Drosophila melanogaster: one gene and its partner. The protein of the gene in region 1 interacts with the protein of each later gene in a pairwise test. Each region holds a gene or a part of one and is shown on either strand. Other genes may lie near its edges. The genes, in order: CG14443 and Zcchc7.

What was found.
Region 2: the proteins of CG14443 (region 1) and Zcchc7 interact in a two-hybrid assay, tested with the Drosophila melanogaster proteins (one large-scale study listed by BioGRID).

Annotation. Positions count from the first base shown.
Region 1 is NC_004354.4:6,632,213-6,636,878, forward strand, and holds CG14443 (uncharacterized protein), read left to right. Parts: upstream 1-1,746; coding exon 1,747-3,957; downstream 3,958-4,666. UniProt on the Drosophila melanogaster protein: Probable ATP-binding RNA helicase.
Region 2 is NT_037436.4:16,843,735-16,851,680, forward strand, and holds the start of Zcchc7 (zinc finger CCHC-type containing 7), read left to right. Parts: upstream 1-1,651; 5' UTR 1,652-1,766; coding exon 1,767-1,775; intron 1,776-1,833; coding exon 1,834-2,155; intron 2,156-2,492; exon of another isoform or gene 2,493-2,562; coding exon of another isoform or gene 2,563-3,249; exon of another isoform or gene 3,250-3,266; intron 3,267-3,426; coding exon 3,427-5,580; intron 5,581-5,642; coding exon 5,643-5,842; intron 5,843-5,900; coding exon 5,901-6,038; intron 6,039-6,100; coding exon 6,101-7,946. Other genes in the region: TSG101 (tumor susceptibility gene 101), read left to right, coding at 58-404, 473-659; kud (kuduk), read right to left, coding at 891-1,127; CG32161 (uncharacterized protein), read left to right, coding at 2,563-3,249.

The DNA of each region.
Region 1 (4,666 bases):
TGTGTGTGTGTGGATTTTCTTCGGGGAACATAGCCGAGAATTTATGCCCAGTGCAACATTAGTTGCATAGAAATGTGTTGTCGGCGCACAAATTAAATAAAGTAAGTTAGTGTTGGGCAATGTCGTTATGGTTTAGTAATACTGTATAGAGTGACCTTAAATGGCAGTAAATAAGGATATTTAAAAAAAAAAAAACTTTAAAACTTTATATGGCACATTTTGTGGAGCATTTTTCATCGATTTTAGCTTGAGACTAACTATTTTTATAAGTAATCCACCAACTTGGTAACTGGTCACGTGTTTTTGTACGCTTAGTGCCGATTAGCCACTACCCCAACCACTATAGCCACACACAGCGATCCCAGCAGCAGCAGCGACAGGCACAGCCACAGCCTCACCTGCACCAGCACCTGCACACACATGCCCCCCCCCCCCCAATCCTCGAGTGCATCCATGGATCCATAGACAACTCCACCCCGAGGCGAGTGCTCGAGCTCGATATGGTGATGGATATGCGTGCAGCATAATCATGAAGTCGCTTTGATCTTCTGTCTGCGCTGTCTCGAAATAAATGAAATGACTCAGACAGGGGAGCATAAATTTTGCACTGGTGGAAAGTGTGGAGGGGCTGGGTAACTGGGGAGCTGCCGGAAATGTCATAAGCATAAATATAATTTTTTGATAATTGTGTGTGTCGCGAAGCGTTAATGGAACTTTAATTGAAACTCCGGACTGATTGGGATCTTAAACCAAAACAAATCTCTTTGAATGGCCAGCAATTCTAAAGGCGATGCAATGCAATTTGATGTCTTCATCGTTTCAACAACGAGCGTAATTACGACTTGATGGCCACATTAAATGAAGGGTGGTCTGAAAACCGGGTCGCGGAGGGGTGTTCCGTACTGTTGGCCAATTAGCCAAAGGAGATCGTTAGCTGTCCGACGATCATTAGCCTTAACGAGCTGTACAGCCAATTGCTTGCCAATTTATCTAGTTAATTATACGGATTTTCTATAGTTAGAACTCCTCGCATATGCATGCATGTGTACTTTATATTATTTATTCATTTTTTGTTTTTTAGTTTTATGATTTTTATTTAGAGAGATGGTAAAACCCTCCTCTGAATTCCGCATTGAGCAACTTTGTTGCGGCGTTTTTGGTTTTTTTTTTTTTGGATTTTGTTTTGCTTTCGTCGTCGGCTAATTGAATTTGATAAAAAAGCCAGCGAATGCTTTTAATTGACCAAACATTCAGACACTCACACTCGCCAATTATACGGCAGATAACCCACCCAATGTGGGTCTTTCGATTGAGTAAGAGCGCTCTGAACTTCCGCCAGCGGAGTACAAACCCGTATCCGTATCTCAGTCCGGAACTGGAACAGTCTGCACTCGGGAAATTAAGCATATTGAAGACCATAAAAAGTCCACTTAAATTATTAATCTTCCAGATTAATACGGACTCAAACCTCAGTTCATGCCCCTTAATAAGAAATTACATTTTATAACATTACATTTTATTAAGAACAATAACAAACACATATGGGAATTTTTTATTTCATTAAATTTAAATGTATTTAAATTTACCAACACTAAGAGGAGGACACACTGAAAATTAACCAACACCAAAGCTTAGAGTTGTCAACTTTTTTCATAACACGTGGCATTTCGCTGTGTTCGTAAGGAGATTTTTTTATTGCCTTGGCAAAAATTGGAAGTGAACAAACGCAAATAAGTGCTGCAGAAAATGTGTGAGAAAGCTAAGAAACTGGTGATTGGAAACTGGAAAGACAACGAAACCGATGCAGAAAAGGTTCAGAAAAAGCCGTTCCTTAAGGGTACGAAGTCTTCGATTTGGGGCTCCAGCGCTTCGGACATAAGCGGTCAGTCCAGATCTTTAAAATCCTCAAGCTCTGTCTTGTCCTCCAAATTCGTTACGAAAAGGCTTTTCACAATACAACACGGAATTGAGGGACAGAAACCAAATTTCAAAATCAGGAGCGAGAGTTTCAGTGGTCCGCATTCTGCTGGCGGATTTTCCAAGTCTACGCGCGAATCCCGGTCGAAAAGCAGGAGCATGGGTAATGGCAAGTTTAGAGGAAAATCCCATTTGCGGTCCAGTTCTGAGTCTGCTCATTCTTCCGGATCCGAATCGAGTTCATCCGATTCCAATTCCGGCTCGTCATCCGATTCGGATTCCACTACGGGATCAAGTTCTCACGGTAGCGATACGGGAGAGAGGCCACGCATGCGAAGCGCTGTTTTTCGCATTCATGAAACTTGGCAATCGCCAAATTCTTTCAAGGCCGTGAAAACCTCTCGTGAAAATAAAGAATCAAGAAGCAGGAGCAGCAGTCTACCGCAAAAGCGCTTTTGTCCTTCGAAGACCCAAAATGATCTGACGTACGGGAGTCCAGAACCCAAAAGTCCGTCCAATCGCGGCCGCAATTCGTGGAGGGTCGGAATGCGCACTCCCTGGAAGAAGAGTCAATCGAGGAGCATGAGTTGCAGCTCCATTCAAAAGATTTTGGTTAGCCGCTCCTTCACCAGAAGCCGCAGTCCCCATCGGAATACTTTGTGTTATCAGGACCAATCCAAAAACCCAAGCCGCCCTAGTAATTACAATACCTGGAAGCAGCCGATGGATGAGGTGTATAATAATGCCGCTAATTATCGGAAACGCCACAATATCACCTTGACCAGCTGGAATATGCGAAACCTTCCGGAGCCTGTGCTGAGTTTCGAGCGCAGCGGATTCAATGCAACCATATTACAGCAACTGGAGGATCAAGGCTATGATGGGCCCACGCCCATTCAGGCACAAACATGGTCGATTGCCAAGGAGGGCAAAAATATTGTGATGATTTCTGGAAAGGGTACGGGTAAAACATTGGGCTATCTATTGCCGGGCATAATGAAGATGCACAATCAGCGCGGATTAATGCAGCACAAGAAAGGACCGATTGTCTTGATATTGGTGGACTGCCGTGAGGCTGCTGTCATGGTCCAAAGAGAGGTATTGTACTATACAAATCCTCTCGAGCTTAGGACGCATTGCCTCTTGGGCAACAGTCAATGGCAAGGTCATGCCGAATGCGATCTGCTGGTGGCCTCTGCTGGTCGCCTGCTTCAAATGATTGATAACAAAAAACATGTTGTAGAACTGGAACGCTGCACATATTTGGTTCTGGACAATATTGATCGCATGATTGATGTGGGCTTAGAGGGTAACATTTGCCGACTACTATGCCGTCTACGTCCGCATGCCCAATTGATCGTCAGCAGCACGTCGTGGTCATCTAATCTGAAACGGATGGCCAACAAGTTTTTGGGCCAATACACCGCAATTCGCGTGGGTGAAATAAACAATATAGGCGTGCGATTACAAAACATCCGCCAGCGGGTGGAGGTAGTCAATGGGCTATCGAAAGTAGAACGCCTTATGAAGGAGCTGACTGCTATTTACGATACAAGCGATATTCCCGGTAAGGTGGTGATCTATGTGAAGCGCCAAAAGGTCGTGGAAGAACTGGTGGATTTGATCCGGAATTGTGTACCCTGCGAGGGCATCCATGGTGGACGCACTGCCCAAGAAAATCAAGGAATAATCCATGATTTTGGCACTGGCGCCTACAATATCATTGTGGCCACGCAAATGACATCGAACTGCTTGGATGTGCCAGGCATTCGTTATGTGATCAATTATGATTTCCCGGACAACATTGATAAGTATGTTCAACGCATGAGCAGAACGGGATGCCTGTCGTATAACCGTAACTGCGAGGTCATCAGCTTCTTTACCATGGCAAACTACAAGCTCGTGACGGAAGTGGTCGATTTTCTTAAGATCTGTAAACAAGAAATTGGACCGCATCTTCTTCAGCTCGCTGAAGAAAAGATGTTTGGTCCCCGTCAACGAAGGCGCCATCGTCCGCAACGCTACAATCGCATGCATTAGGGTCGATATAGCGGATATATATGTTATTGGCAAACATTTTGATGGCTTAACTAACTTAAATTGTTAATGTATAATGGATTTAACCCTTTAAATGTTTATTGATTTAACTAGGCCAGTTGAAATGGTTTTTTTTTTTTTGGGAGGGGGGGGGGGACTAAAAAATGGGGTAATGACGAATGGGAGGCATGGATGGCACGTCCGCAAAGAAAGTTGTGCATCCAGAGCTCAGAAGACGTGATGTTATGCAAGTGAAGTGCAGCTAAGTAAAATGCATGGCAGGCGCATCAATATTCAAATACGGTTTCAGTTCATACTAAATCCCTTATGATATTTACATGTGCCATTTATGTATTTATGCGTACCTTAAAGTTTTAAGAACCGTCATAGGATATTCAAACTTAATACGTTTTCTATCGTTATAAATTGTGAAAATCCGCCTAGATCTCGATCCATATCGAATCATTTGGGCTTCTGTCACCAATTCGCTGGTTCGCCTACCGTTCAAATTCTGACATATATGGGTCAATATTTTCTATACAGCCAGTCAGCCAGCAAACCCCCCTACTTTTTGGCCCATTGATTGCCATAGAGTTATTTAGTTGTTTGCGCCAAAAGCAAATGGAAATGAATCAAAATTCATTAGAGGTGAATTTATTGTGTTGGCCATTTGATTTCGGTCCCAAGCGAGATCAAATTTCTGGCCAATCGA
Region 2 (7,946 bases), on another chromosome or scaffold:
GTTTTAGATTATTATCCAAAAATCGACTTCTTAATGTTTAAAGCTTATTCTTTTCAGAATCCCTCAAATCCCAGTTCCACGGGAACTATTACCGAGGAGCACATCAAAGCATCAATCATTAGCGCTATCGACGACAAGCTGCGCCGCCGAGTTCAGGAGAAAGTTAATCAGTATCAGGCCGAGATCGAAACTCTCAATCGCACCAAGCAGGAGTTGCTCGAGGGCAGTGCCAAGATCGATGCCATTATAGAGCGCCTCGAGCGCGAACATATTGATATGCAAAAGAACATAAGTATATTAAAGGACAAGGAGCAGGAGCTGGAAAAAGCTCTTGAAGATCTTGAGAGCGCCGAGGCCATTAACCCCGACGAGGCGGTGACCACCACAGCGCCACTTTACCGACAGTAAGTTGAATGTCTGCGTGCGCATTCCAAGATTCATGCTAGATAATTAATGGTTTATCCACCCGCAGGTTACTCAATGCCTATGCCGACGAAGCGGCCACCGAGGATGCCATATATTACTTGGGCGAGGGTCTCCGCGGAGGTGTCATCGATCTGGAGACCTTTCTTAAGCACGTGCGACAGCTATCCCGCAAACAATTCATCCTACGGGCCACCATGCAGAAGTGCAGACAAAAGGCCGGTCTAGCGGGCTAGAAGAGCCATGATTTCAACAGTTGCCGTGATTTCTTATTCGACGGGGTAGTGCGAGCACGTGCAGACGATTTATATGTTACCATCAAAAATATTCGATAAGTTTTAAGCGCAAATTGAATCTTAAAAATTGAAATTATAATAACAATAATCCTAAATAAAACAAAGGCCTCATGTATGTTAACGCCCACGATCAGATCTTCAGTTTATTTCTATGCGGAATGGTGTCTTATCTCATACGTAAATACCGACGGTTAGAAGCAGGAAAACAATGCCGAATCCCAGGAAAATGGAGGCGCACAGGCTAATCAGCAGTTCCTTTATCAAGGTGCTTTCCTTAGAGCTCTTTCGAGACACCACAAAGATGAAGAACCAGGCGGTGAAGAAGGTTCCGATGACCAAAAGCACGGTGGCGAGGTGGGGAAAAACGGCCGGGTTCACGGGCGATACGTAGCGCTGCATTACGTCCATACTAGAAATAAGATGATCCGGTTAAGCTATTAGTTTAACACACTTGCGGCACTCTTACATTGAATTTTAGCTTTAATTACTTCTTGTTATTTTTCGACGCGAATTGTACGTGGCCCGGCAGCTAGGGTTGCTCCTCTTGTTATCGTTATCGGAGGCACCCACAATTGACTGCCAGTTTACACGTATCGAAACGAGAAGTATCATAAATTTTTTTTTTTTGTAAATTTTTTTTTGGTTTTTTTTGGTTTTTTTGGTTTTTTTTTTGGTTTTTTGTAAATTTTAAATTTTAATTTAACATTTTGAGAGATAAAAAACTCGGAGTGGAAAATTATTCATTTTTATTTATAATGCCATAGTGAATAATTAAGTGTTAATTTTAAAACTTAAACCAAATTCGAACCGTTCGTTGATGTAAATTATTTATTTTTTGCCAGCTAGTAGAAGTACTGTTGTCAGATTTTTTAGTTTACTATTCGATAGCAACATTTTCCGATAGCCAGAGTGTCATCACTGCCTCGATTGACATGCTCTCTCCAGCTTGCCCACCACTGCCATCAACGTGCTCTCTTTCATTATATTACTTTTTATCAATGCGCAGGAAAAATAAATCAAAGGCAAAGGAAAACAAAGACGCGCAATATGAGTGATGTGAGTGTTGGCCCAAATACCCGTTATTCCTACCGATCTAATGCATTCCAATCCGCAGCTTGAGGAGATGGACAGCGAACGGCTGAACGAGCTAGAATCAATTCTATATGCCTCGATCCACTACAGCGATGGATTCGAAGAGCACACTGCCATGGATCAGCCTGCGAAGGAGTCAACCAGCGACCAGGATGCCAGGAGCATGCCACCGCCTCCTCAGCAGAAGCATCCCATTCCCGGACAGCGTTTCGTCAGCGGAACACGAGTGATCAACAACAGCATGCAGAAACCACGCTACTGGATCGATGGTGCGGCAGCTGTGGGGGAGGGGCAGGTGGTGCAGGCGGAGGAACAGCAGGCCACCACAAACAAAACAATGCCAGGTGAGTGGCAACCATTGGCAAATGGTATATATGAAGTAATAAAAACCATAAGCTAGCATAAAAATATACCCAAAAATGTACCCAAAAAAGGTAGGATCCAATAAGATCCAATATCTCACAAGTTATTAGGTAATTTAAATCATAGTAAATATAATCATATTTAATCGGTCGATTTGTAGCTATAACTGTTTAAAACTCAAAACAAAAAAAATTAAACGTGATTCATAATCTTAGGTATTCTTAGCTAGTTCATTTGTAGTCTTTTAGTTCCGCCCCATTTCATAGTAGTCAAGAACATTTCCTACTTCCATCAGTGGGGATCAGCCCAGCTTTTGGGCATTAGGCTGCTTTCATCCTTTTCAAAACTATTTCGTTGGCGTGCTTTCAAAATTCTCCATAACCTTCCAATGATGACCTGCTTCCTCAGTCGCTTTCTGGGCCTGGGCAGGTGCGGTCTGCAGGTGCTCGAAAGGCGGATGGGCCATTTCAACCATTGCACCTTGGCCCTGGCCACTCTCGACCTTGTCTGCATTGTTTGCCTGCTCCATTACCAACTGGCGCGGCATGGCCGAGATCTGTTTTTTTGGTGCGAGGAACTGGACCAACGACTAGTGGAGTACATGCTATCTGCAGTCGTATTGATGGCCAGCGTTAGTGTGCTGGGCTCGTGTGTGGATGGCTTTATCTTCTCTGCCTTGGTTCAGCGGAAAATGAGTCGGTTTGATATGCCGCGACAGTATTTTGAAGATCGTTACCGCAGATTCGTCTTCATGCGGCTGGTCAGGCAACTAGAGCAGGCTCTCAAAGTGCAGGCTAAGCAGTCTGAGTTGGGCGAAAGAATGATGACGCCACTCGCCAATCTGTTCGAGGCGCAGCAGCTGATCAAGGAGGCAATCGATGAGTTTCGCACAGCGGTGCGAGTCCTACTGTGGCCCAATCGATCCGATGTGCTGGCAGAGGCGTTTGTCCTCTTCCACATAAGCGAATCGCAGTTGTCGGATCTGACACTTCAAGGCTACAGGCTGAACGACGTCGAGGGGGAAGACATGTCCAATTCCCGTCTTAGTCAAATGCTTAACCCACTTTGGTATTAAAATTGGTGCTATAGTTCAGAAACTGCATTTTTAATTTGTCAATGAAAATGTTGGGTTGTATCAAAAGATTTGGTTTATTCTTAAGAATTTCTGCTAATTTGCTATTCACATTTATTCATATCGCCTATACAAATAAATATAAGAATCACATTTTAATTTATGGTTCTTGTCTCTTAGCTGTTGAAGAAAGTTCCTCATCACAATCGATGGATGTCGATATGCCGCAAGACAAGAGTCTATTGCTGTCGCCCGAAAAGGGAACGTCCAATCAACCGAAAACTGCTAGCCAGCCCCCGAAACATCAGCAAATCCCACAGGCCAAGCAACAGCAAAATATTCATGCAAAACAATTGCAAAATCAACAGGCAAAGCCTCAGGAGCAAAAAAATTCACAACAGAAACAGCAGCAGAGTCTTAAGCAACAAAATCAACAATCCAAGCAGCACCAAAATCAGCAAAAGAAGTCGGCGCCAGTAGTACAAAAACCAAAACCGCAGCCAAACGCATCCACCAAAGTGAATCACGAAGCCTACGAGGCGGAGCGTTTTGACCAGAGACTTCTAGTCGCCATCCCACCGAACTGCCCGCCCAAGAAGCAGAATAAGCCACAACAAAACAAGCAACAGCAGCAGCAAAACAAACAGCAGCAGAAAAAGCAACAGCAGTCGCTGCAACATAACAAACAGCAGCAGCAATCAGGACCTGGACCGTTTGGCAAAGCCAACCGCAAGTTGGAGCAGATTCAGCGTCTGGCAGATAAGAAACAGAAATCCAAGCAGGCTCAGTTAAATAAAAAACAGCGAAAGCAGCAGTCTCCGCCGGTGGAGTTTGTCAACCTGGCAGAAACAAGCGAATCTTCCGATGACGATGATGTGGTTCATGTACCACTTCCGCCAGCTCCTATCATCGAATTGGACACGAGTGACGGCGAGCAGACCTGCACCTCATCTCAATTGTTTCACGAAGAGAATGCAATGGACGCCACAGACGTGAAAATGGGATTGTCTTGTATTACTGAACCAGAGGGGACGAGTGTTGTTGCTAGCAGTACCACACCACCCATGCATTCACCGAGCTGTTCCGTCATGTCCAGTGATGACTTCATAGTGCAGAAGGATACCACTCGCTTGTTGACAGAATGTGAGAACGCCAATGATGAAGATCTGCTGGTACTAACCGAGACGGCTATAAGAGAAGCTATTGGCGAGGAACCAAAAGATAAGGAAGTTGTGGAAAATGCATCTGAGGAACAAGAACATGATCATGCGGCTGATACCTCGTCGGAATATGAATTTGTTCCTCCTTCACGACTGGAGGAAATTAAGAAAAACTATCGCGTCGACGATCAGCAATTCAGAGCTTTAGACGTCTACGAAAGTGAGTCTGACCTCACGGAAAGTGGCATTTACTCAAAAGCCAAGAGCAAGACCACGCCAACGATCATACGCAACGTAGACTCATCATCGGGCAGCTCTTCCGTCGAGGAGGTAGTGGAGCCTAGTGTCCAAAAGACGAAGCGTCTGCGCAAACGCTCCTGTTCAACAAACAATCACAGCCAATCTGATCCAAACAACGACGATGGGTTGGATGATTCAGACAGCGATGATGGCGTTCATGCTACTGGAGTTCCTGGCATAGCACGTGGTATGGCAGTGGAGCGTTGTAAGCGCAAAATCCGTAGAATCAGTACCAGACATAGCTCTGATGACAATTCGAAGAAGGCGGCTACACGTATCCAAAAACCGAAAGTTGCTGCAGTCCATCATGCTAGCTCAGAATCTGCGTCTGAGGATGAGTTACCAAGTGCCAGAGATATAGCCGAGCGACTTCTTAATCAACAGCAAGGACAAGGAAAGGTGCAGGTACAAAAAGGCGATGGCGATGACGATGCCATTTCTATCGGATCCGATGAAGATTCCCATGCAGAGGCGGAGTTTCGCGATGCTATGACAGATCGATTAGCTGCAGTCTTCGAGCGTCTTGATGCCAAAGCCAAAAAAATGGAAGAGGACGAGGAACAAGTGAATGCGAGTGGATATATATCCGATGAAGAAGACTCGCGAGACAAAAGTGCAGACACCACTGTGCGTTCCGACGAGGATATTGATGCTTCTAACGATCTTGAGGAGACGAATCCAGATAAGAACGACAGAGACGTGACAAACGAAGAGCAGCACGTACACGTGGAGCACAATTTGCAAGAGCTAAGAGACGAAAGTCTGCCCAAAAGCGGAGACCTCATTGGCTGGAACGAAGAGATGCGCAGCTTCTACAATGACAGTTGGAATGGGGAAAACTTCTCTGTTCACAAGGTCCAAAGAATGATGACAGGTGATGTTACCTTTAGTAGTTAGTAATAAGCGAATGCAGCTATTAACCTACTGTAATTGCAGGGCATCGCCACGAGTGGAGGATCAACACCGCGGATAGATGTCCGGTAGCACGACCCCGCTCCCATGCTAAGTGCTCCAACTGCTTTGAGATGGGACACGTTCGATCAAAGTGCCCGCGTCCCCGCAAGCCACTTGTTTGTTTCATTTGCGGAACCATGGGTCATGCCGAGCCCCGCTGTCCCAATGCCATTTGTTTTGGGGTAGGTAATTGAACTACTTCAACTAGAACATACTAAACAAGTCCTTTCAATTTTCTAGTGCGGATCAAAGCAGGAAATTTACGTGCAGCAGTGCAACAAGTGCTCCTTTCACAGCCGCCTGGTCTGCCAGCTGTGCAAAATGAGAGGACACGGCGTGGATCACTGTCCGGATAAGTGGCGTCGCTACCACTCAACGGTAATACCTATTAACCATTCAGTGCAGAAATCAATGCAATCCTCATTTTTCTTTGCCAACAGACTCGGTCAAATACTGAGCTGGATAGCCGGGTACAGTATAGGAGCGTACAGTGCAGCTACTGTGCCGGTCGCCATTCTTTCGAGAACTGCCGACAGCGGATTGGTGACTTTCGTAGCACGAACTATACAAGCCAGATTGTGTCTCACCAAAAAATCTACAAGAATCGCGGTGGCCCGATAGGTAATCTTGGCGATTTAAAAAGCTTTTTTGCTATTGAAACTCCCTTCCACTTTAAGTGGAACAATCCGAGTATGCCGAAAAATTGCTATTATTCAAGGTTCCTTGTCAATGCGAACTTGGCAAAAGTCCAGTCAGTCAAAAGGAAGTCAACTACTGCAGTATCGCAGATTCCAGAAAAGATTTATACCCACGAATATGTGCCCAATGCTCAGGTGAAGGCAGCTCGAGGGGAGGTATCCACTGGAACGGCTAAGAAACCGCTCACAAAGCAAATGCCAGTTGTCGAGTCAATCGCTGAGAACCGAACCGCAGAGGAGCCAATTGGAAAGCTGAATCGTGAAGACGAAAAATCTAAAGATATACTACCGCTCCCAGAGGTCCCACCGGAAGTGAAGCAAACTCAAGATGAGAAGCTTGTGGAGGGACAACCTAATCAAAGCCAACCCGATGAAGAGCTACCCATGAAGGATGATGATCAAGAAGAACCATCGTCCTCTGTGCAGCGTGAAGAGATTACCACCAATTTCGACAATCCACCAACGGAACCTGGCCTAAGTAGAACACCATTGGCGCCCCATGAGTTGGACTCAGATTCGAATTACAGTTTTTCCGAGCACTTTGAACTGCCCAGCTCGACAACCAGTGATGGTCAACCCAACACCCAACTGCCGCTCGTCCGCACCATGGGGACTCTACCCGATGTCATACCCCTAAGTAAAGACGATTTTGAACTATCCTCTAACGTCCAGGGAATTTCCATGTGTGTTAACTCCAGTAGCACCAGTTTACGCACTGACGAAACGCCCGATCCGGACTCCAGTGAAGAACTGCCAGATGTTCCAAGCGAGGGCAAAATCATTATGGCGCGCGAAGAATCCGAGTACCTGTTCAGTGCGGAGGGCCGAACTTTTCTGGCGGCAGCCGCCAAACAGTGTCATGTAAGCGTGCGGATGGACTTTAAGGACTACGGTTATGTACTGGTGATATATGGCCTTAAAAAGCACCAGGAAGAGTTGCAAGTGAAACTGCTTCGACGCAGTCAGGAAGTCAAGCGCAAGAGCATCGAGTTCCAGAGCCAGAAACCCCCCAAACGTATTGATGTGCTGATCCGCTTTCTGCGGGATGGAATCAACAGTCTAAACACCAATCTAGGAAACGCCAAGAGCCACTACGTGCGCATCAAGGAGCTAGAGGGGATGAACACCAAAAACGGTTTTAAGATGGCAGAAAAAAAGCGCCGCCAGCTTAACATGATCCTCGTCGGCCAGGCGGGACTCCTGAATGGCAAAACACATCTCGATCAGTTGCTAGTCTTATTGCGTCGCCTGATCGATGACTTCTCGCCAGATGAACACGCCACGCCACAGTTGCGCAATGAGATCGAGGAGCATTGGCGAATGATCTTCTCGTCATATCCGCATCCGAATTACGACTCTCTGCTAAACAGCTATGGACGTTTGGATCAAAAGAATCGCTTGCCCTCGTTGCACATAGATCCTGTGCTGTTGGGACTGCAACAAAAGAAAACGCAGAGTCAGCCGCAATCGCCTAGTAAGGGGCCACCATCGCCAACGCCTCTCCCACCAGTTCGGCAGGACATGGCTCCACCACCACCTCCTAAAATGTCAAAGAAGAAGCAACGTCAAGCCCTGGATCAGCAAACAC